3 linked regions of the Arabidopsis thaliana genome follow. The protein of the gene in region 2 interacts with the protein of the main gene of each other region in a pairwise test. Each region holds a gene or a part of one and is shown on either strand. Other genes may lie near its edges. The genes, in order: TRFL5, AT4G32190 and CYTC-1.

Region 1 (7,996 bases), on a different chromosome or scaffold from region 2:
ATTCGGAAATTCCTGCTCAATTTTGAGCGATCAGATTCTGAATTTCACTGGAATTGTTTTTTTCTGAGTGTATAGACAACATTGCTAAACCATATATTGACGGGAGATCATGGGAAGCGCATAGCCGTGATTGAGAACGAGGTATTGTCTGAGAAGCTGAATAGAGATTGTTTTATGTTTTATGGTTTCACTAATTTGTTCTGAAATGTGAATTCTCAGTTTGGTGAAGTCGACATTGATGGATCACTTGTGGCAGCTCAAACTGCGGGAGCGGAGGATATAATGATGCTTAACAATGGCTGTCTGTGTTGTACTGTTAGGGGTGATCTTGTGAGGATGATTTCTGAAATGGTCCAGACCAAGAAAGGAAGGTTCGACCATATCGTTATTGAGACGACAGGTTCAATATTTTCTATCACTCTGGAGCTACATGATTCGTTAAGAACCAACTACTATGTTATTAAAGAATAAATGAATATATTATGTATATTTTCTTTCAGGATTGGCTAACCCTGCTCCGATTATTCAAACTTTCTATGCTGAGGATGAAATTTTCAATGATGTCAAGCTGGATGGGGTTGTCACTCTGGTTGATGCTAAACATGCTCGTTTGCATCTAGATGAGGTCAAACCTGAAGGCTATGTCAATGAGGCGGTTGAACAAATAGCTTACGCGGATCGTATCATTGTTAACAAGGTATTGTGAAGTTCTATTTCGACCTAATTTTCATGATTAACATCACCATAACTTGTATTTGAAATGTGTGGTGGATGCTTATAGTAGAAGCTTTTCAATGGTCTGCTATGTATGTTCTCCTCGACATATCATACAAGCTGAAAATTGTTTGTACTTTGTTGTAGACTGATCTTGTTGGTGAGCCAGAACTAGCTTCAGTGATGCAGCGGATAAAGGTAGGTTCTGCTTCTTCTGATTCTTTCTTTTTTCTCTTTGAACATCTATTTTTCTCTGTGCACTGCGTTAGCATTTATGATGTGGTTATTTCCAGACCATAAACAGCATGGCTCACATGAAGCGGACAAAGTATGGGAAGGTTGACTTGGATTATGTTCTTGGAATTGGAGGGTTTGATCTAGAAAGGTCCGGTTTTATTTTACGTCTTACTAAAAATCTTATTACGAGTCACTCCGAAAACTTCTGTCCAAAGTGAATTGTAGCTCCTTACATTTGTTATGGTTTATTGGTTGTGGATTTCCTGGTTTAAGAGGGCTGATTTTGTTACTCTGATTTATTGCTGGTGGCCAACTATTTTATCTTTCCAGAATTGAAAGCTCTGTGAATGAAGAAGAGAAAGAAGATCGCGAGGGTCATGATGATCATCACCATGGTCATGACTGCCATGATCACCACAATGAGCATGAGCATGAGCATGAACACGGTATGTTATAGTGTTACCAAATAATGGCCTTATTACTTAATAACGATCGCCTACATGCATTGATTAGTTTGCTTCTGAAACTGCAGAGCATCACCATTCTCATGATCACACCCATGACCCTGGTGTTGGTTCAGTCAGTATAGTTTGCGAAGGAGACTTAGACCTCGAGAAGGTATTAACCCAATATGGCTCAAGTTGTGTCACATGTGATGCATAAAACTGTAGCACCTGACGTGTTACTTATAATTAAAACGATTGTTGAGATGTGCGATTGATTACTTGCATCATCTATAACCTTAGTTTTGAAAATGGATCAGGCTAACATGTGGCTTGGGGCGCTATTGTACCAACGTAGTGAGGATATCTACAGAATGAAAGGTATCCTCTCCGTACAAGACATGGACGAGAGATTCGTGTTTCAGGTGACCAACCTTTGTCATTATTTTGATCATTTCGGATGAATTCTAAAGCATCGAAGCCTTGGGATGTAAATTATCTCTGACGTTTGTGGTTTATAATGGTTGGAACAGGGAGTTCATGAAATATTTGAAGGATCACCTGACCGGTTATGGAGAAAAGATGAAACAAGAACCAACAAGATTGTTTTCATCGGCAAGAATTTGAACCGGGAGGAGTTAGAGATGGGTTTCAGAGCTTGCTTGATTTGATTATAGGACCAAATATTTAAAATCATTCCATTTTGTAATCAACTGGTCAATAGATTTTTGAACAAGAAATATCGTCTAAAGCTTGACACTAACTACAAGAGCCTGAATCAAGAACATATTAAAGCCTTCACCGTACAAAAAGTGAGTCCCTTTCTAACACAAGCGGCAAAACTACACAAGATCCCAAAACCAAAATGCCCATAAGTTAGAAGGTAAGATTCCTACTACTGACGACCAAGTAAATTCCTCCACTTATCCTTCAAATCCACCTCGCTCCTATCAGCGAAAACAACAGGGTATGAATTCTTGATATCTTTCCATGATTTTCCATATTCTTTAACTCCTTCCCTCAAAGCTGCCACTTCTTCAGAAGTCCAGAATTTCATTGGCCTTCTGGGACGCGGTCTTTCTAATCTTCCTTTCTTCAACGGTGATACATTCAGAGGTTCCGGGGTTGGTAGATGAGGCCTGACTCTTCTAGACGATGATGTTCCCTCACTATCTTCTGCATCAGTCCTATTTGCCCCATCAGGCTGAGGAGTGACATCAACTGAATGCTCCATTGCATTGTTAGGTTCTTGATCTTGCCTTGTTATAGGGTCGATGAGTCTTTGAATCTCCAACAAAAAATCCTTAAGCTCTCGAGCTACCAACATTTCCCCCTTATTAAGACTTGGCTCGTGTTCCTGTTCATGTTCATTCACCTTACCAACCCCATCAGGATTCTCCACACCACCCACTTCTTCAACATCATTAGCTTTCTCTCTATTACCTCCTCTCCGGGAAGCATATGGTGAATCCTTACGCTTAAGAAACCTCTTTCGAGCTTCTGATTCAAGAGAAGAACATCCAAGTAGTGCCCACTGCTCTTTGAGAAGCTGATTAAGATGAGAGATGGCATTGTACCTGATGTTAGTCTCACGAATCTTCTGGTAAATCTCAGGTTCCTCAAACGCCTTGTTTAGATCACTCTCCCATTTCAACAACTCACGAGTCACCAAGTCGCTCTCTTTCTCCTTCAATGTCCCAATCCGATTCCTCCAAATCCTCTCAAGGGCATCACCGAAGAAGCCATCCGAAGCATTCACTGGCCACATAAACCTAAGCGTGCATTCCACAGCAGTCCAGCAATACGCAGATTTGAGAGATCCCATGATAACCGAATGTTCCTGTAACAGAAGCTTCTCAAGAATTTCGAGGAGATCAAGCATTCCTTCGTCTACGGTACCTTGAATCATGGAATTGGAGATATCCCGCAAAACAGCAGTTAGCTTGAGTTTTACACAGTCGTCGGAATCTACTGGTTTCAGAGCCGATAACAGTGGAAAAGCGTAAACCCTAGGATTTAGTTGGCGTCGGAGGAAAAATTCAGCTACCCATTTGTCCATCACTTCCATTTCCAAGACTTTGCAAGTAAAAGATGCGAAAACCCGCGATCAGTTTTCGCCGTCGGTGCGTGGTTAGGGTTACAATTTTGGGAAGAGGAAAAGCTCCGACCAACTATGGTGGCAACAACACACGTGTGAATCATTCAAATTTAAAATGTGTTTTTTTCTTTTAATTAAATAAGACGAGACATTCAAGCGGCCCATTATATAATCGGCCCATAACGAAACGATGTTGTCCTGATCCGAATCGGGTGGGTGACCCGAGATCATTGGAGACAGAGAAAAACAGTAATGACTTTTGAGCAATACAATGTTGATCCAATACAAATATGGCCGGAGAAGGAGACAATTTGTCCGTATTTGTTTCCGGCGACCAGAGGGATAAGCATTTCCACAGATACATTTAGAGAAAAAAAGACAAGTTTATTGATACCAAGCCAAAAGAGACCCCAACATACATATGAACACACCAAAATCCCTTTTTTATTTTCCACTCTTGACGTTTTCCAAAAAAGTCACAACTTTTTATTTTTGAATCTAGCATAATCCAATCAAACTTGTGATCTTAAGATGATGATGATGATGATGATGATGATGATGATATATCATTCATAGGAACAACACCACCATCATTGAGCAATTTCTGCTCAGTTTTCTTGGGCGATTGAACCTCCCCACCAAACATTTGCTTCCTGTATTGCTGATGTAATCTCCCAAACAGCTCCTTCTTAACAGACTCAAAAGCCATATCCAATCTCTCCAACTGTTCAAGAGCATTCGGATTATACATAAACAAACCGTAGAAAAGCTCAAAGCTATCACTCGATGTGTTCTCCACCAAATCCAACAACGTCTCATAACCTTTGGTGTTAATCGGCGAAGACTCAACTCCATATTTCTCCAAAACCCTTCCCATAGTATGCGTCACGAATTGCGATCCAGCTGCGTAATAATCATGCTTCTCACAGCTCATTTCAACCATCTTGCAACCTTCATTCTCAAAAATTCTTAGAAACTTCTCACACCTCTCTTGTCTTGAAGCTGCGTCTCCGATTCTCACCTTATCGTAGACAAAGGGCAAGCCAGACCAAGAATGCTTACCACTCTCAGGTCCAAACATTGGATGAGTACAGAGAATGTCAAACTCCTTAGGAAGGTATTTAATGAAGAGGGCTTTTGGGAATTCCTTAACGGAGAGAACATCGACGAAGAGTGTGCTACGACGGAGACGTTGGAAAGGGAATGATCTGAGGACTGATTCTGTGGAGAGGATTGAGGTACAGAGGAGGACAACGTCGGGATGTTGTTCACAGAGATCGTGAGGGTTATCGAAGAAACGAGCTCCGATTGAGTTTGCGGCGTCGGAGTAATCGGAGCGGGAGTGAGTGATTAGATCGTGGCCGTGTCGAATTAGGGTTTTGGAGAGGAATTGGCCGAAATTGCCGAAACCCAAGACGGCGATTTTGAGAGCAGAGGATTTGCGGTACTCGGATTTGAGTTGGGTTTCGTAATCGAAGATTTGGGCGGCGTCGATTGCTCGAATTCGAAGAGATCGCGGCGGGGAAATGAGGAATGTGGGTGAATTGCGGCGGAGATTGGGTGGAGAAATGAGGGGTTTCGCCGGAGAGAAATGGAGTAGCATTGTGAGTAGTGTTGATTGAGTTTTAGCTCCAAAGTTGGGAGCTTAGAGAAATCTGTGAGAATAGAAGAGGAAGAAGCGGTTGCGCCAAAGGAGGAAGAAGATGCGAGCGAGCCTCAAAAATAAACGGATCAATTTTATGTCGTGGCCTAAACGTGGTGATGCTGATTGACCCAAGAAAAACAAAATGCTAAATACACAACAACACAAGGACCATAATGGAAATAAAAAATTGAGGTCAAAATTAAAAGTCGTTCCAAGGAAATTTGTAGGTACTGTTTTGTATTCATTTGTATTTAGTAACCCGCATTTACAATATTTCTTTTTCTGAAGGACTAGAGTTTTTATTTGTCCATAATTTTATTTTGATTTGTTACTTTAAAGTTCAATCTCTTCCTATATATGAATCTTTAAAAAGAAAATTTCGTAATTTTCATATGCTGACTATAGTTGTTGTTTTTTGGTTTTCTATTAATTTGGCTATTTGTAGTAATTTTTATTAGGATTTAGGAGGGTTATTGATATTTCCCTCGTTTTTCTCATAGAAAAAAAAAAACAAAAACTCTAATTTTGACTTTTGTAGTAATTTTTATATACTGACCCCTAATAAACATGATAATTACAGAAAACCCCTCAAGTTCTCTTTCTTTGCTCATTTCTTCACGAGAAGATGAAATCTTAAACCTCTCAAGTTCAGGGTCTTCTTTCCCAAACGAAAATGACAGGTTCGATCTCGACCTCTTGGCTCTTGTCGTCTCCTTCGAATTCGAATTCGGCTTCGAGCTCAGAGTCCTACTCTTTCATAGCTACCTTGAAACCAGTTCGTTATTATCCGTTTCAATCACTGACACCAAACCGGATTTCGTCGAGATCTCCGTTGCCCTCAATTCAAATTCGAGCTGGAATCCGAGAGTTACGAGAACGAATCGACAGTGTGAAGAATACCCAGAAGATAACGGAAGCGATGAGACTCGTGGCGGCAGCTAGAGTTCGTCGAGCTCAAGATGCAGTCATAAAGGGTAGACCTTTCACTGAAACTCTTGTGGAGATTCTCTACTCAATTAACCAATCTGCTCAATTAGAAGACATTGATTTTCCTCTGAGCATTGTTAGACCCGTGAAGAGAGTTGCTTTGGTTGTTGTTACTGGCGATAAAGGATTGTGTGGTGGTTTCAACAATGCAGTGACCAAGAAAGCTACTCTGCGAGTTCAAGAGTTGAAGCAGAGAGGAATAGACTGTGTTGTGATAAGTGTAGGTAAGAAAGGGAATGCTTATTTTAGTCGGAGAGATGAATTTGATGTTGATAAATGTATTGAAGGAGGAGGTGTTTTCCCAACGACTAAAGAAGCTCAAGTTATTGCAGATGATGTGTTTTCCTTGTTTGTCAGTGAAGAGGTTGATAAAGTTGAGCTTGTTTACACAAAGTTTGTGTCTTTGGTGAAATCTGATCCTGTGATCCACACTCTGTTGCCTTTGTCGATGAAAGGAGAGTCTTGTGATGTGAAAGGTGAGTGTGTTGATGCTATCGAGGATGAGATGTTTAGGCTAACGAGCAAAGATGGGAAGTTAGCTGTGGAAAGGACCAAGCTTGAAGTTGAGAAGCCTGAGATCTCACCGTTGATGCAGTTTGAGCAAGACCCTGTTCAGATTCTTGATGCAATGATGCCTTTGTATCTCAACAGTCAGATTCTAAGAGCACTGCAGGAATCTTTAGCGAGTGAGCTTGCGTCGAGGATGAATGCGATGAGTAATGCGACTGATAATGCGGTTGAATTGAAGAAGAATCTGACGATGGCTTATAACCGAGCGAGACAGGCTAAGATCACTGGGGAGTTGCTGGAGATTGTGGCTGGAGCAGAAGCTCTTCGAGAGTCTTAGGTAGAAACTACAGCTGTGTAAAATCATTTGTTGTTTGTGGTAATAAATGTCATGAAAGAATTTACAGATCATGAGAAATTGAGAATCGTTTACACCTAACGCCGACAAAAGACTAACAGTAACAATAAATTCCAATTATGTCTCGAAGAAGACAACCAATTTAGGAAATATAAGCAGCAGAAAGTAACGGCTAAAACAAGTCTCGACCGAATACTTGGTGGATTTCTAAATTCTAAACAGAACAAAAAGAAAACAGAAAGACAGAGAGTGAGAGAAAGAAACATCATTTGGTTGGTTCTTTAAATGAGCCTCATCAACAAAAAAGGTTTTTTAACCACCTACGGTAAACGAAAATAAGAATGGTAAAAAAGAAAGTTTAGAATCGATCGCCATCATCATCTTCTTCTTCTTCATCATCGTCATCTTCTTCCCTCGGATTGAGTTTAGAAGTACTTGAAAAGGATACCACCGTGAGTGGCGAAGAAGGGAGCAAAGACAAGAGACTCAACAGCCATGAGCTTGATGAGGATGTTCAATGAAGGTCCTGAAGTATCCTTCAATGGGTCTCCAATTGTGTCTCCAATCACAGCTGCCTTGTGTGGCTCTGAACCCTTTGGTCCAAGGCTCTTTGCGTGCTCTGATACACCAGCCTGCGAATATATAACAATGCTTAAGGATTTGACTTCATATTTTCAAATGGTTTGATTTAAGCTACAAGAAAATTCCATTACCTCGATGTATTTCTTGGCGTTGTCCCAGGCACCACCAGTGTTAGATGCTGATATGGCGATCTGAATAGAATAAACAGAGAGCATCGATGAGCATTTTTTTTAAGAATAGTTATTCACAATTGAATTGAGAATATACTTTACCTGAACACCGGATACAAGAGATCCGGCGAGGACACCAGAGAGGGTCTCAACTCCAAAGAAGAAACCAACAATGAGAGGTGTGAGCATGACAAGGCAACCAGGAGGTATCATTTCCTTGATGGAAGCATCGGTGGAGATCTTGACACATGTGGC
Region 2 (7,996 bases):
CTCAAAAAAATAGAGAAGGAAATTTAGGGGCAAGGTTGGTATTTGGCGATGCTAGTAGGGGTGATCCTATCAGTTACACTCTAACGGCCTACTATCTGTGTATACATGCTGTTGTAGGCATAAGTCCCAGGGTACGTCGCAAACCTTTTTCTATCAACGACACCTAAACGAGAGATTACCCTTGGCAAGAACCTTGTGGTGGCAGCCACTCTCGGCTGAATTTTATCTACGTAATAAACAAATACAAATCATTAAAAATCACTTAGTTTTGAGATCACTTAGACCACCTCCAATGTAATAAAAATAAATGAAAACAAGATATTAGGCTAAGGATTGATCCTAAGCTTAGAGTTTTAACATTTGTTAAAGACTTTAGTTGTGTTGCTTTGTGACTGGCTGAGAAAAAACTATATAAAAAAAGGATTATGCATTGTTTTAATAATGCTTAAATCTAGTCGTTATTTAAGTTTTTTGATTTGTATATTTTCTTTTTGCTTTTATATCATGATGTATGTATACAATTTTAATATTTGTAGTAATTATTAAGTATCAAAACCCGACTTTTGTACTTAGCATGAACGATTGAAATATGATTTGATTGAGTATCAGAGTATATATATGGCAAAATTTTGGTCCGAATCAAGCTTAAATATTATCCTTTTTCAAATTTTCATTTCTATATATTTTTTTGCTTTTATGTCATGATGCATGTTTACAATTTTATTATTTCTAATAATTATTAAGTTTTGTCAAATAAAAAACTTTATAATATTTTATTTTAAAATCTTTATTTTTTTTGAAGAAATCCTCTTAAAGTCTCCACCACCATTGGACAATAAAAAATTGTAAAGATTCAATAAAAACTCTAAACTTTAAATTATTTAATATTTATTATTATAAAATGCAAAGAGTTCTTGATTAAGACTCTCCAATAGACTTGCTCACAGTGACAAGTAAACATATTTAACCGCCAGTAATTCTACATATCCACAAAAGAATCATACAGATTAGGCTTATAAAGTTAATCAAAGCTTTATAAAATTACACCTTCCATGCATGTAGATGTACCAGCAACGATTCCTGCGTTCTCCAGGAGTTTCTCTGTCAAGGACCAGAGCCTGACAACTTCTGTTTTTACCTCACCAAGACACTCATTACTTCCTTCTGAATACCCTCTCTCTGGCATTACAGTGTGAGTTGTGTCGGCCTCAATGCTCATGTCAGCTTGAGTTAACAGTTCCGTGCTCATTTTTGCAAGCTTCTGTAATGCACTGGTCGCAGCTTCAACTTCAAGGTTAGCTGCCTCAAGCTGAAGCATCTCTATGGCCAGATCACCCATTGTTTTTTCCCCGACTCTCTCTTGTGCCAAGGCATATAGCACTTTCAAATCTTCACTGTCATTGATCGTTTCTTCTTTCAATTTCTTGAGTTCCTGCTCCTTGGCTTCTAATCTTCCCATGACCACGTTGATCTCTTCGTCTTTAAATGTCAAAGCCCTCTGCACCGCTAGAACTTCCATTTCTTTCATCCGTAGATTTTCTCTGGTGAAGCTTAACTCCATCACCAGCCGTTTGTTCTCCATTCCGTAATCATCATGAGGTTTCTCTAGTGGTTGCTGCATTGAGTCAATGCTTATCTCATTGTTAATCCTCATTGCATTCTGATTTTGACCGTTGGTGGTTGACATAAGCAGTCTGTTCGTCAATTCTGCAATTCTTTCCACCACCATTTCAGCTTCAGTGACTTTCAGCTTGGAACTGCCCAACTCACCTTCTATTCTGTGAAGGTGGACATCTTTCTCCTTCAGCATCTCAGTTGCCTCCATAAGCTGATCTTCTCTACTGATCATAAGTGCCTTTAGCTCTGTTACCTCCTGGTTCACTTCTCCCAATTTATTTCGAGCTTCAGCGAGTTCTTCATCCTTTTCTTGCAGTAATAGTTCTAGAGAAGCCTGTTCGGACTTCAGATGCTGAATCTCTAGTTTGGCCTCCACCAAACTTGACTCTTTCTCCTGAAGTAGATTTTGTGATACCTGAAACGCATTAGCTTTTTTGTAAAGCTCATCTTGAATAACGGATATATCATGCATAGCTAGCTCCAACAATGGTTTCTCTTTCTGCAACTCCTCTCGTAAATCCTCCAGCAATTCTTTTTGGACCGATATTTCCCGCTCAAGCGCAAAATTTTTAGCCTCAACAACTCTGAGCTTTACTCTCTCACTTTCAACTTCAGTGTGCGCATCCCTCAAGCTTTGCATATATGACAACACACTTTTCCTCTGTTCCTCGAGTTCCTCCAATTGTTTTTCCAATAGTAGCTCTTTTTCTTCCATTTGCTCCCTGGAAAATACCAAAGCTTCCCGAGAAGAAATAAGCTCGAATCTTACATCAGTCAGAAGCTTTTTCACTTTCATGAAGTCCTCCATGGTTTCATTGGCTTCTCCTAAACGTTTCACGGTTTCCTCTTTAAGCTTATTCACTTCATCCTGGGCTATCAGCCACTCTTCTGTCTGTTTCTTCAAGTTGGCTTCTGTTTCTCTAAGCTTTTCTTGTTCAAGTTTCTTCGTAGCCTTAGAAATCTCTAATTCTTCTTCCTTCTCCTCAAGAGCTCTCTGAAGTGCATATATTTCACCTTCTTGTCTCTTGACAACTTCGTTGGCTTTGCTTAAGAGTTGTGACTTGCTTTCAAATTCAGAAATAGCCATAGAAACCTCCTTGCTTCTGTTTGCAATCTCTTGACGCATCTTCTCTAGCTCTTCCTCTTTCAAAGTCAAGGACGATTGCAAAGCAGCACGTTCCTCGTCTCTTTCCCTTAGCTTATGCTTTAACTCTTCTATCTCCCTGGCTTGAGAAGCTAACTCCACATTTGCCCGCTTCAGCTCCTCTTGTAGACTCTCATGCTTCAACGAAGCTTCAGAGATTGTTTTCTCACGTTTTTCTAACTCCTCCTTTGCCCGGTTAAGTTTATTTTTGTCAGAGAGAAGCTTCCTCTCAGCATCGTGCAGGTCCTCTTCCCTTTTCAACAAGGCCACTAGCGCAGCCTCAAGGTCAGACTCAAGCACGCCAAGGTTTGAATAGGGGAGATCATCATCGTCAGGATAAACCGAGTGTTGATTGGTTTGTCTCTCCAATCTGTGTGTCCGAGCAAATAATTTATCGAAAAGAACATTTGCAGACTCAGCTGAGCCATTGTCGTTGATGTTGGGTCTTGTATTGTGCAAGACTGATTGAACACTCAGTAAAAGATGTCTCTTTCTCCTTGTAATGCTCGGGAATGCGACAAGACTCTTCTGCTTATGGTTTACTACTCTTGTCAAACAATACTGCATAAGAAAAAATCATATGGCCGACATCAAAATCAAAATCAAAAGTTTGATTATTTTGGACAGACACTAATCAATATGGATGCAAGCAAACTTATTCAAATTAAAGGAACAGTATTGAAATTTGCAATCTTTTTAAGCCAGAACAAGGAACAATCAGAACAAGGCCAGCAAAAGTCAAAAATTCAAGTTTGATAAAGTTAAGAGTAAGTAAAGTGTTGTGAATCAGCAGCGATATATAAATGAAAATATAGGGGATAATATAGAGAAAGGTAAGGAAACAAACATCGCAGGGAGAGGGAGAGGAGAAGGAAGCAAGATTCAAGCGAATGGCCTGAGAGAAACCCATCCTGAGAGCATAATTATGCAATCGCCATGGAGCTTAAAGACGGAACAAAACCCAAATCCACTGGATCAAATTTAACAAGTGGGCGTTTTGGAGAAGAATGCTTACGAGAACAAATCCAAGGAAGAAGAAGAAGAATCTAGCTAGGGAATGGATATTGTTACAAAATTCTTTTACCAAAAAAAAGGATACAAAATAATAAATAGAGGCTCGCGTTGGCTTGCGAGTTGTGGTCGCCAGTAAACTCGAAAGTCCTTTTTGCCCTTATTCATAAGATGCATGTCGGCATTGTCCAAATACACGGCCAAGGGATCTATTTGTAAAAATAATGGACTCTTCTTAATTACGTACGTGGTAACGGTTTTCTAGTATGACAATTCTCTTTCTTTCGCGTAGTCGGCTAGTCGCGTGGTTAGAAATGCTTACACACTAAAGAGTATGTTATATTAAACTGGAATATAAATTTAAGAAACTGAATAAAAGTCATCAGGCCCATGACATTGGCCCAATAGACCCAATGAAAAACCAATCCATCAGCTAGTTTTCTTAACATATCAACCCAACGAGGTTGTATCTTGTTACATTTGCAAGTGAACTTTTTTATCATTAAAAAATGTAACAATGGTATTTTTGGTTTAGTGTTCCTAAAATATTTGTTTCCCACATAAGATTTTATCTACACCAAATAGTCCAATTGTATAATATAATCCATCTTCACAAAAGCATTTTAAAGGATATCCTACCTTCTAAATTCCGGCGAAAAATATCTTAAATCTGAAAAAGTGATTTATCGTGAATAGTGTAATGTTAGCAAAATCTTAAACTTCAAAAAATCGTAAAACATAAAGAATTAAGTGTGACGGATTAATTAAGATATCGAAACCAACACAGTAATCCTCATCTATGACTTGGAAAAACTCATAAGTGGCAAGTGGAGTTCGAGTTTGGTCATTATTGTGAAACACCAAACCTAATCCACTTACAAATTCATTAAAAACTACAAATTTGTGTGGTAGTTTTTTTTTTTTTTTGGGAAATTTATGTGGTAGTTAATTAGTTAACAAACAATTATATATAAATACAAATTTTGTTTGGAGTTAGGTCCGCTTCAGCCTGCTTAAGCGATTCTAAGCTTAGTCGTATAATCGTATTAGCAAAAGCTCGAACAGTTTACTTCTTTACCCTGGAAAGTCTTATCATCATCAGTTCGTGTCGTTTGACTTTTTAAACTTTGCAAGGAAGGGTTTTGTGGTGGTTTGGGAGAATTAGGCAATTGTTGGTGATCCGATTTTTCTGGGTTTGGTTGGGTTCCTTTTTTATTTTTTAATAAAAAAAAAAAATGGCGGGTCAAGAGGATGAGTATGATCCAATTCTTGACAATAAAAGAGAAGCTGAAGCAAAATCTCAGGTTTCTGTTGCTGCTGATAAAAATATGGCTCCTTCTACTTCTGGTACTCCGATCCACAGATCAGGCTCTAGACCTCAGCTTGATCTAAGCAAAGCCGAAATTCAGGGGAACCTCGAGGAGAGAGATCCCACCATTTTATTGCCTAATCAGTCTGATGATATCTCTCATTTGGCTCTTGATATCGGAGGTGACAACAAATTTCACTTCTTTTTTATTTTCACTGTAGTTGACCATTGATCTAGTGCTTGTGGTTCTTCCAGTAGTATTTGGTGTCACTTCTTGGTTTTGGCAATTTCGATGTTTATTTCTTAAGTGCTATGTTTGAGAATTATGAACCCTTTTAAGTTTATTTGCAGGTTCTTTGATAAAGTTGTTGTATTTTTCACGACATGAGGACTACTCTAATGATGATGATAAGCGGAAGAGGACGATCAAGGAGAGATTGGGTATTACCAATGGCAACTTGAGAAGTTATCCTGTTCTTGGTGGTAGACTTCATTTTGTCAAGTTTGAGACTCACAAAATTAATGAGTGCTTGGATTTTATTCATTCCAAGCAGCTTCATCGCCGAGGTATTATTACTTTTATCCTTTTCAGTGTATGAAATGTTGTTTTGTATTATAAGATCAATTTCTGGTGATTTACTCTTCAATTCGTCTTCTTCTCCATTTCTTTTCAACTAAATGAATAGATCCTTATCCTTGGAGTTCAAAGACCTTGCCTTTGGGGACTGGTGTTATCAAGGTAATCGCATTTTTATGACTTGATTGTTTTTATCTTTATCACCTTTTGAGGCTCCTTCTGCATATATTTAGCTCGCTCTTTCATTTGAGATACCAGATAACATTTAAGACCCTCATAATTATTGTTTTTAGGTGAAACGTTTTTTATATTTATAAGTCTTGTATATCCATGTAATGTGATTTGCTGATTCGGCTTTGATTAGTTGATTATTACTTGTTTTAAACATATGAGTCAAGCGTACGTGTATCTTTCAGGTCACAGGTGGCGGGGCATTTAAATTTGCAGACTTGTTCAAGGAACGGCTGGGCGTTAGTATTGAGAAAGAAGATGAAATGCATTGTCTTGTTTCTGGAGCAAATTTTTTGCTCAAGGTAAGACCTTTCTTTATGCAACATTCCATTTATGTTGTCTCTGCATACATATTTGTACCTTTTATTACTAGCACTTGCGAAATAGAAACGTAAAGACAGACTCTCATTATATGTGACCGGTTGATTTGTTTGTTGAAGTTCTGAGTCACATGAGAGAAAAACAGCTGGATATCTGTATGTGTGTTTTACTATACTTAAAGTTCTGCTAAGACTATTGAAATTTTGCAATTAGTCTACTTTTCTTTTGTCTATTTGCATGTGTATGTTTTGAATTTATTCTTAGTTTCTTGCATTTTCTGCAGGCTATTCGACATGAAGCCTTTACGCACATGGAGGGTGAGAAAGAATTTGTACAGATAGATCCCAATGACTTGTATCCTTATCTTCTTGTGAACGTTGGATCTGGTGTTAGCATAATCAAGGTATTTGTTTACGTTTGCTACTTTTTTCACAATCAGTGTGTGTTTGGCTCCTTGAACTTCTGAATTGGGAGGTCAGAAGATTGCATGGACCTGTAGATTTCATGCAATGGCTTTTCAAAGTATAGGTTGATGGTGAAGGAAAGTTTGAACGTGTGAGTGGAACTAATGTTGGCGGTGGTACCTATTGGGGCTTAGGAAGACTTCTAACGAAGTGCAAGAGGTTACAGAGCTCTGATTTTACATTATTTCTTTATATTTTTGTTTCCTATACCTTACACTGTTTTCTTTTGTTTCAGTTTTGATGAATTGCTAGAACTCAGCCAAAAGGGAGATAATAGTGCCATTGACATGCTCGTTGGTGATATTTATGGTGGCATGGATTACTCCAAGGTAGGAGTCAACTTTGCATCAAACTACATGTGATCTCATTTGTTATAGGATGTGACTACTCTCCTATTGAAACTCAGAATGCTTTATTACTACTGTTCTAGTAATTCTCATTAATCAATCATACAGATTGGTCTCTCTGCTTCAACAATAGCTTCTAGTTTTGGCAAGGCGATATCTGAAAATAAGGAACTGGACGATTACAGACCTGAAGATATTTCCTTGTCTCTGTTGCGGATGATTTCATACAATATTGGGCAGGTATGCATTGGCGAGTCCAAAGGATTCAACGAAGTTCTTAAGCAAGAATAAGCCTAAATGTTTCTCATTTTTATTCCTAAGCATGATTCCATTTGGAAGTTTTGATCAGTGAATGTGATAAGTTATTGAGAATATTATGAGTTTCTGATTTGTTTTGTTGCTGTGTAGATATCGTACTTGAATGCCCTTCGCTTTGGGTTGAAGCGAATATTTTTTGGAGGATTTTTCATAAGGGGTCATGCATATACCATGGATACAATTTCATTTGCTGTACATTTCTGGTAACTTCACTTGTAAACTTGACCTAGATGTGATATGCGTACTCACCTTCTTCACTCAAACTTATTTATTTATTGCTTGACTACACTAGGTCTAAGGGAGAGATGCAAGCTATGTTCTTGAGACATGAAGGTTTTCTGGGTGCTCTAGGTGCGTTCATGAGCTATGAGAAGCACGGATTGGATGATTTAATGTCCCATCAGTTGGTTGAGAGGTTCCCAATGGGTGCACCATATACTGGAGGAAATATTCACGGACCACCACTCGGTGATTTGGACGAGAAGGTACGAAATTTAGCTTACGCTTTACCAAAGTCTCAGTTTGTTCTATTTAATACTTTGAAACTGACAGCCAAAAAAATTCCGTAATGACATGGGACTTCTCAAAATATGAAAGTGCGGGAATATGATACCATTTATGCCTTGTGCTGGGTAAAGTGTATGCTGGTTACCATTA
Region 3 (7,702 bases), on a different chromosome or scaffold from region 2:
TAAAATAGAAAATTAATCTTTATTTTTTGTTGTTGTTGCTTTGGTATATCATAGTTAGGTTACCTTAATTTATAGGTTTTTCATTTTTTTTTATATGAAAAAGTCTTAAGTCGAAATCTAGAATTTTATACTACTATATATCCTCTATTTCGTTTCATAAAAATCTGTAAAATAGGTGATGACATAATAGTATAGAGAAAAGCAGTGAAAAACACAAAAGTCGATTCAAACTCCACCGATGAAGAATGTGAAAACGTCGTCGTCGATGGTTAAACCACGTGGGATAAAGAAAGACTTTCTTTGCCTTTTTTGGTTACAAATTGCGTCATGCGTGACATGAGCACCGTCTAAAGGGGGTCCTTTATTTTTGGCATTTGACCAAAGATCTGTAATGACTTAATGATTCTCCACGGACAACACACAGACACAACAGCCCAAACTAACTGGAAAAAGTTATTTTTTGTCTTCTTCTGTGTCTGCTGACTCATGTACATGGTTGTCAAATTTTAGTTCACACACAACCACATCCAAAACACGAATCATCCACGGAGAAACCCAGTCTCATAATGTATTTAATGTGTTTTCATCCTTCGGATGCATAACCAATTCTTTGTAGTTGATACTTGATTAGGTTTTTCTCGACACTGACATTTGGGAGTTGATTGTGATGTGATACACCGTCTTATCATAGTCACCGACTCATTTAGAAGAAACCTCAAAGGTAACTTGGTAAGTTACGATTAGAGATGTTTTTAGAAACGTCTAGCAGATTATTGATATCTGACAATAAATATTCACACCTACTCGGTTGGTCTATGCGATTTTAGACAATTTAAATGTTTATAAAAACCCTAGTGTATCAGTATATATAAAATCAATATTAATGAAATAATGCAATTAATAAATTACTTATTATAAGTTCTTATAAAAAAAATACTAGTGACCTCATTTTGTAATATCAAAAACTGGTGCCAACTTCATCTAACACGATTTATTTAACCTTGGTAATATTTTGAAAAAACCATAAATTTATAAAGTTGTTACAGTCAGATTTTAGTGGGCTAAAATGGGTTACAATTGCAATGGGTCTGGAAGTGGACAAATCTAAACAAGCGGCCCAAATCATCTGAGCACATGCCAGAACATTGAATAAATGTCAAAAAGGAGTCTCTTTCTACATAACCTTCACGCGCGGCTACTCCTACTTTCGCTTCGTCCGGTTCCGTCGATACTGTCTCCGAATCACTGTCTTCTTTCCTTTTTCTTCCTACATGACATCTGTCTTATCTCTTTTATGTTTCTCTAGATGTACTTATACTTCCATGTTTCGTCTGTATACGGTATGTTTCGCTCACCACATGTTCGATGAAATTCCTCAACGAAACTTTTTTTTTATCTTTCTCACCTTTCTTCCTTTGACTTTCAGACGGAGAAGCAAAATTGCTTGAACTTTCGCTTTGATGGATCAAACTAGTCTTGGAACAATAATCAAAATCCATTCGTTGCCATCATATGCAGCTTACTGTATATGCCGTCTTCTCCTTCTCGCTCTATACTCAGAGGTCTCACTGTATCCGAAATTTGCAAGTTTATTCCTCAATCGTGGAAACAGCTGCCGAGACCCATCTCAGAAACTTCCAAAACCCATGATGATGAATCAGTTCCACAAGTGCTTTTCAATTCATTTAGACATTGCATTTCCCATGGTCAATTATATGAAGCTTTCAGAACTTTCTCTCTACTTCGCTACCAGTCTGGTTCTCATGAATTCGTTTTGTATTCATCAGCTTCTCTTCTATCTACATGTGTGGGTTTTAATGAGTTTGTTCCTGGCCAGCAACTTCATGCTCATTGTATCTCGTCGGGTTTGGAGTTTGACTCTGTTTTGGTCCCAAAGTTGGTCACTTTCTACTCTGCTTTTAATCTCCTTGACGAAGCTCAGACCATTACTGAGAACTCTGAGATTTTGCATCCCTTGCCGTGGAATGTGCTCATCGGTTCGTATATTAGGAACAAAAGGTTTCAGGAGTCTGTTTCTGTTTACAAGCGAATGATGAGTAAAGGAATTAGAGCGGATGAATTTACTTACCCGTCTGTTATCAAGGCTTGTGCAGCATTACTGGATTTTGCATATGGGAGAGTTGTTCATGGCTCTATTGAGGTTAGCTCTCACAGGTGTAACTTGTATGTCTGCAACGCGTTGATATCTATGTATAAAAGATTTGGTAAAGTGGATGTTGCTCGGAGATTGTTTGACAGGATGTCTGAAAGGGATGCTGTCTCATGGAATGCAATAATCAACTGTTATACTTCAGAAGAAAAGTTAGGGGAAGCTTTTAAGCTTCTTGATAGAATGTATCTCTCTGGTGTCGAAGCGAGTATTGTAACTTGGAACACAATAGCTGGAGGTTGTTTGGAGGCAGGAAATTACATAGGGGCTTTGAATTGTGTTGTTGGGATGAGAAATTGCAATGTAAGAATAGGTTCTGTAGCTATGATTAATGGTTTAAAGGCATGCTCACACATTGGAGCGTTAAAGTGGGGGAAAGTATTTCATTGCCTTGTGATCCGTAGTTGTAGTTTTTCCCATGATATTGACAATGTTCGGAATTCGTTGATCACAATGTACTCAAGATGCAGTGATCTTAGGCACGCGTTTATAGTGTTTCAGCAGGTTGAAGCAAATAGTTTGAGTACATGGAATTCTATCATTTCCGGTTTTGCATACAACGAGAGATCAGAAGAAACCTCTTTCCTGCTCAAGGAGATGTTGCTCTCTGGATTTCACCCAAATCACATTACGCTTGCTAGCATTCTCCCTCTTTTTGCTCGGGTGGGAAACCTGCAACATGGGAAAGAGTTTCACTGCTACATCCTGAGACGCCAAAGCTACAAGGACTGTTTAATCCTGTGGAACTCCCTTGTCGATATGTATGCAAAATCCGGTGAAATCATAGCTGCAAAGCGAGTATTTGATTCGATGAGGAAGAGGGACAAAGTGACATACACTTCTTTGATCGATGGATATGGCAGGCTGGGTAAAGGAGAAGTCGCATTGGCATGGTTCAAGGATATGGACAGATCCGGTATCAAACCTGATCATGTAACTATGGTTGCAGTTTTATCAGCTTGCAGCCATTCCAATTTAGTGCGTGAAGGACACTGGTTGTTTACGAAGATGGAGCATGTGTTTGGTATACGCCTTCGCCTTGAACACTATTCTTGTATGGTTGATCTTTATTGCAGAGCAGGTTACCTGGATAAAGCCAGAGATATATTCCATACAATACCTTACGAGCCATCAAGTGCTATGTGTGCTACTCTACTGAAAGCGTGCCTCATCCACGGGAACACAAACATTGGGGAGTGGGCTGCAGATAAGTTACTACTAGAAACAAAGCCAGAACACTTAGGTCACTATATGTTGCTTGCAGATATGTATGCAGTAACTGGTTCTTGGAGCAAGCTTGTAACGGTGAAGACTTTACTGAGTGACTTGGGCGTGCAAAAGGCTCATGAGTTTGCTTTGATGGAAACAGATTCGGAGTTAGATGGAGAGAATAATAAGCCGATGAACGATGATTCTGTCATCAATCAGGAGCAAAGTTCAGATGAAGAACGTCTTGTAGAAGTAGGATAAAGAATCAAATTCTGATAGAAATATTTTATCAAACTGGAGAATCAATTTGTACATAAATCTTATATACAACAAGTTTTAATTGCATGATTTCCTGTAAACATAAGTTTACATGAACTAGGGGATGGTCCTTCGCAAGTATGAGTAACAAGCATAAACAGCATTATATATGAAATAAATATGAGCCCACCTAAACCCATTAAGGGCCCATTAAGATTGGAGATACTGCTTTTTTAAGAGAGGTCACTTTTTCCACAGTGAAACCCTAAGGAAACTTCGGCAAGCTCCAGAGAAACGAGAGTTCCGTAATCATTTTCTCTTGTTGTTCCTGATCGCGTAGCTCAAGCGAAAAAAATGGCGTCGTTTGATGAAGCACCACCAGGAAACGCCAAGGCCGGTGAGAAGATCTTCAGGACCAAGTGTGCTCAGTGTCACACCGTCGAAGCAGGCGCCGGTCACAAACAAGGTTTTCACTCATCGATCTCTCTCACTCTTGAATTCTATTTCTATGGTTGATTTTCGCAATTTATCTGAATTTTTATCGGGCCTTTGTTTTACATCGCTTTATAATCGATTTGTTCATGTTAATCAAAAATCTCTGATGTGATCTGGTTAACGGATTCTTCGATTAGATCATAGATCTGATCCAATAACCTCGATGTCTTACTCGTGTTTATCCTTAAATCTTCAGCTCAATGCATGTGACGAATTTCTGAGGTTTTTATATACAACTTTTCGCATTTTTGTGGAACTTGATTCTCGAATTCTAAGTAATGATACAACAATGATTTGAGCTAGTTGCGTCACAGATTCTCATTTTTTCTTGAAATTGCGTGAAATTAGAAAACACTGTTGCTCAATGGTTTCTATTGTTTTCGTAGCTTTTGTAGAATGTGATTTGCGTCACATTGTTGCTCAACACTTGACCTTGTTGTTTTAATATAGGACCCAATCTAAACGGTCTATTTGGAAGACAATCTGGTACAACTGCTGGTTACTCTTACTCTGCTGCTAACAAGAACAAAGCTGTGGAATGGGAAGAGAAGGCCTTGTACGATTACTTGCTCAACCCCAAGAAGGTTTGTATAATCATGTCATGATTGTTTCATGAGTTGTTGTTGTTAACATTGAGATTGATGGCCTTTTTATATGATGCAGTACATACCAGGTACCAAGATGGTGTTCCCTGGGCTAAAGAAGCCGCAAGACCGTGCTGATCTCATCGCCTACTTGAAGGAATCTACTGCGCCTAAGTGAATCTGATGGTGGATTGATTCTGAGTTGTTAAGTCTCTCTCAGATGAGGCTTTTTTACTTTGCTATATTCTTTTGCCAAATAAAATCTCAAACTTTTTTTGTTTATCATCAATTACGTTCTTGGTGGGAATTTGGCTGTAATGTGTGCTGAGGCTCACTTTATCGAGTACATTTGATTTTCTGAGGCTCATTTTCCTTTTTTTTGTCTAGAAAGCATTTTCTCACTTATTATTGGTGCTTAAATTTGAAGGACAAAAAAGATTCGAATTATATATCAACTATTAACAATAATGGAGCAATACATTTAACGTTGATACATGATACTCTGTTGGCGTTTTACAAATCCTAGAGAGTCAAAACCATTATCCAATCGCTGGCTTGTTTCCTACTTTGCATCTCTCTTCTCATCATCATCAATATCCTTTATAGCATCCTGCAACACACGGCAAGTAAAAGATATACATGAGACAGATTCATTTCACTTTACATCTTTTAAGTTTCAACCAAATGTGGGACTTTTCTGAGCTTATATGCTACGAAGCTTTGAACCAGTTGGTTTGATATCAGAAGTGGGAGGCAAATATAACGCAGAACAGAGAAAGAAAAGAAGTAAACAAGTATGAGTTTACCTTTGCAAGGCTTGTCACATATGTTCCAGCCAATGCAGTAACCAACAGACCCACCCCGAGAGTTAAAAGCTGGCCGTTTCCTCCAGGCAAGCCAACATTAGATTCTTCTTGCTGAAGCGACATAGACAGAAGATTGTCATTTGATGATTTTATGATGCTTGCCAGAGTCACCATGTATTCACAATTCAACAGGATATCAGACACAGTTTCTACAATTCAAGTTAACTTCCATAAGTTGACTAGCCTCCCTCGTATTGAGTACATGTTTACCATTCGATATCGATCTCCTTTTCATTAAGTCAAAAACAAAACTTTTAGCTGATGATTTTAGCTAGCTTTCTACCCTACACAAGTGCTGATCAACATGAACTTATTGTACACCATAGGCTTGAAATGAGAGAAGATAGGCATGTTTTTGTACAGTTCATTTTTTTGTGTCAAAGTGATATAGAGATTAGATAAAAAGACAACAGAACTCACAATGATTGCTCGTCCAAAAGCCCCGGCGCTGACATAAGCCCAAGAGCCTGGAAGCATACCCAACCAGCTGCAAAAACAGTATGATCCATGAATGAGTATGTAAACTCAGACTATAGCTTATCAAGTTGAAATCTTGTTCTCAAATGCAAAACAAATTGAATCAACTCCTGGTCAAGATTGCTTGAGAGTAAACACCAAGTGGACATTAAGTGCTGGGAACTAATTGACTACTACAACTCAAGTATCAAGCTTCTACAGCGGATATCATAGGGAAATAAGTATAACAAAGTTGCAAGAACACAGACCTTCCTAATACATAAGGCACAAACTTCACAGACGTCAACCCGTACAGGTAATTGCCAAGAGAGAAAGGAAGTAGAGGGCTTAGCCGAAGGAGAGTAACAACTCTAAACCCATTTTCACCAATCGCTTTATCAATGGCGAGGAACTTCTTGTTGTCTTCAACTAACTTAAGGATGCGCTCTCGGGCAAAATATCTAGCAATTAAGAAAGCAACACTAGCAGCCATCTAACACAGGAAAACCAAAATAACATATATCAACATGGGAAGGTCACTTGATGAGATTAAGGATTGTGTTCTTGGGAAGAATAAACTTACAGTTCCACTGATAGAAACTATGATAGTGCCAATGAGTGGACCGAAGAGAAGACCAGCCGACATCGTCAATGGGAGAGCTGGAATGGCTAGTATCTAACACAAATGATTCAAAAAACAAAACCTTGAAACTGGGGTCAATGAAGAGTATAAAAAACATCAAAAGCAGATGAAGAAGTATAAAAAAGCTTGCCTCAAGCCCAGCATAGACGGCAATGAATAACGCATACCCAGCCGTACCATAACCTGTTGTTTGATTCATCAAGAACACAAAACTCCATCAACTTACTTCTATCTAAATGCATCATCAATATCTAAAGGTCTATTCTCACTAAGTTCTATTAGCTTCTATGTATCGAATCGTTACCTTCGATGTAAGTGGAGAATTGAGTAAGGAAAGTATTGATCTGATCCCTGTAGACATATCCAACGCCGGCGAATCCACCAACAGTACCAATCAACAAAACTCCGGCTAAGATAGTACCCTTAATAGCAGCATCACCTTCCGATCCGCCATCATCATCGCTCTCAGACTTAACATCATCTTCGTCGTTTTCATCATTAGTGGATTTAGAATTGAAGAACCACCGGAGACTCTGAGGAGGCGGAGCGGTAGATGGGAGAGACTGTTGCTTCTTCTTCTTGGTTTGCTTTAGGGAAGAGCATGGTTTAAGGAAATGGAATCGTTTGTAGAGTCTAAAGGACGAAGAAGGAGGAGGAGGAGAGCAGAAGCGGGAGTTGCAGGTGAATGGAAGAGAAGAGGAGGAGGAGGATCTGAGAGTCAGACCTAGAGTGAGGCTGCGCATTCTTAAGCAGCTTTAATGGAGATGATGATGATGAAGACGAAGATTGGATTGAAGCAGTGCCATCTCAGTTTGGGCTTTTGGATTGGCGCGGCTTTGTTCTTGCCAAGTATCGTATTTTCGGATGGGCTTCTGGCGATCTAGAGCGCCACGTGTCTATCTGTTCTTAGGATCACGAAATTAAAATTAGTTTTCTTCCAGAAAAAACTACAAATCAAAAATTCAAGAAAATTGAATTTATATCGCATATTCGCATCAAATTTTTTTGCAACCAATTAATT

The links.
Region 1: the proteins of AT4G32190 (region 2) and TRFL5 interact in a two-hybrid assay, tested with the Arabidopsis thaliana proteins (one large-scale study listed by BioGRID).
Region 3: the proteins of AT4G32190 (region 2) and CYTC-1 interact in a two-hybrid assay, tested with the Arabidopsis thaliana proteins (one large-scale study listed by BioGRID).

What each region holds. Positions count from the first base shown.
Region 1 is NC_003070.9:5,401,604-5,409,599, reverse strand, and holds TRFL5 (TRF-like 5), read right to left. Parts: upstream 3,576-7,996; 5' UTR 3,463-3,575; coding exon 2,290-3,462; 3' UTR 2,114-2,289; downstream 1-2,113. Other genes in the region: AT1G15730 (Cobalamin biosynthesis CobW-like protein), read left to right, coding at 76-141, 220-400, 501-697, 862-912, 1,008-1,099, 1,282-1,397, 1,484-1,569, 1,715-1,819 and 1 more; AT1G15710 (prephenate dehydrogenase family protein), read right to left, coding at 4,019-5,095; ATPC2 (ATPase, F1 complex, gamma subunit protein), read left to right, coding at 5,811-6,971; AVP1 (Inorganic H pyrophosphatase family protein), read right to left, coding at 7,415-7,621, 7,703-7,762, 7,844-7,996.
Region 2 is NC_003075.7:15,540,727-15,548,722, reverse strand, and holds AT4G32190 (Myosin heavy chain-related protein), read right to left. Parts: upstream 3,924-7,996; 5' UTR 3,672-3,923; coding exon 3,609-3,671; intron 3,323-3,608; coding exon 1,034-3,322; 3' UTR 866-1,033; downstream 1-865. Other genes in the region: PANK2 (pantothenate kinase 2), read left to right, coding at 5,008-5,263, 5,433-5,648, 5,768-5,820, 6,075-6,191, 6,494-6,613, 6,739-6,833, 6,910-7,003, 7,130-7,261 and 2 more. UniProt on the Arabidopsis thaliana protein: Required for the initiation of starch granules biosynthesis in leaf chloroplasts. Involved in determining starch granule number and size in chloroplasts.
Region 3 is NC_003070.9:8,075,393-8,083,094, forward strand, and holds CYTC-1 (CYTOCHROME C-1), read left to right. Parts: upstream 1-3,894; 5' UTR 3,895-3,991; coding exon 3,992-4,103; intron 4,104-4,119; exon of another isoform or gene 4,120-4,582; coding exon 4,583-4,716; coding exon of another isoform or gene 4,717-4,720; intron 4,721-4,795; coding exon 4,796-4,894; 3' UTR 4,895-5,182; downstream 5,183-7,702. Other genes in the region: AT1G22830 (Tetratricopeptide repeat (TPR)-like superfamily protein), read left to right, coding at 1,529-3,640; AT1G22850 (SNARE associated Golgi protein family), read right to left, coding at 5,279-5,326, 5,523-5,633, 6,003-6,069, 6,308-6,531, 6,622-6,714, 6,812-6,864, 6,986-7,424. UniProt on the Arabidopsis thaliana protein: Electron carrier protein. The oxidized form of the cytochrome c heme group can accept an electron from the heme group of the cytochrome c1 subunit of cytochrome reductase.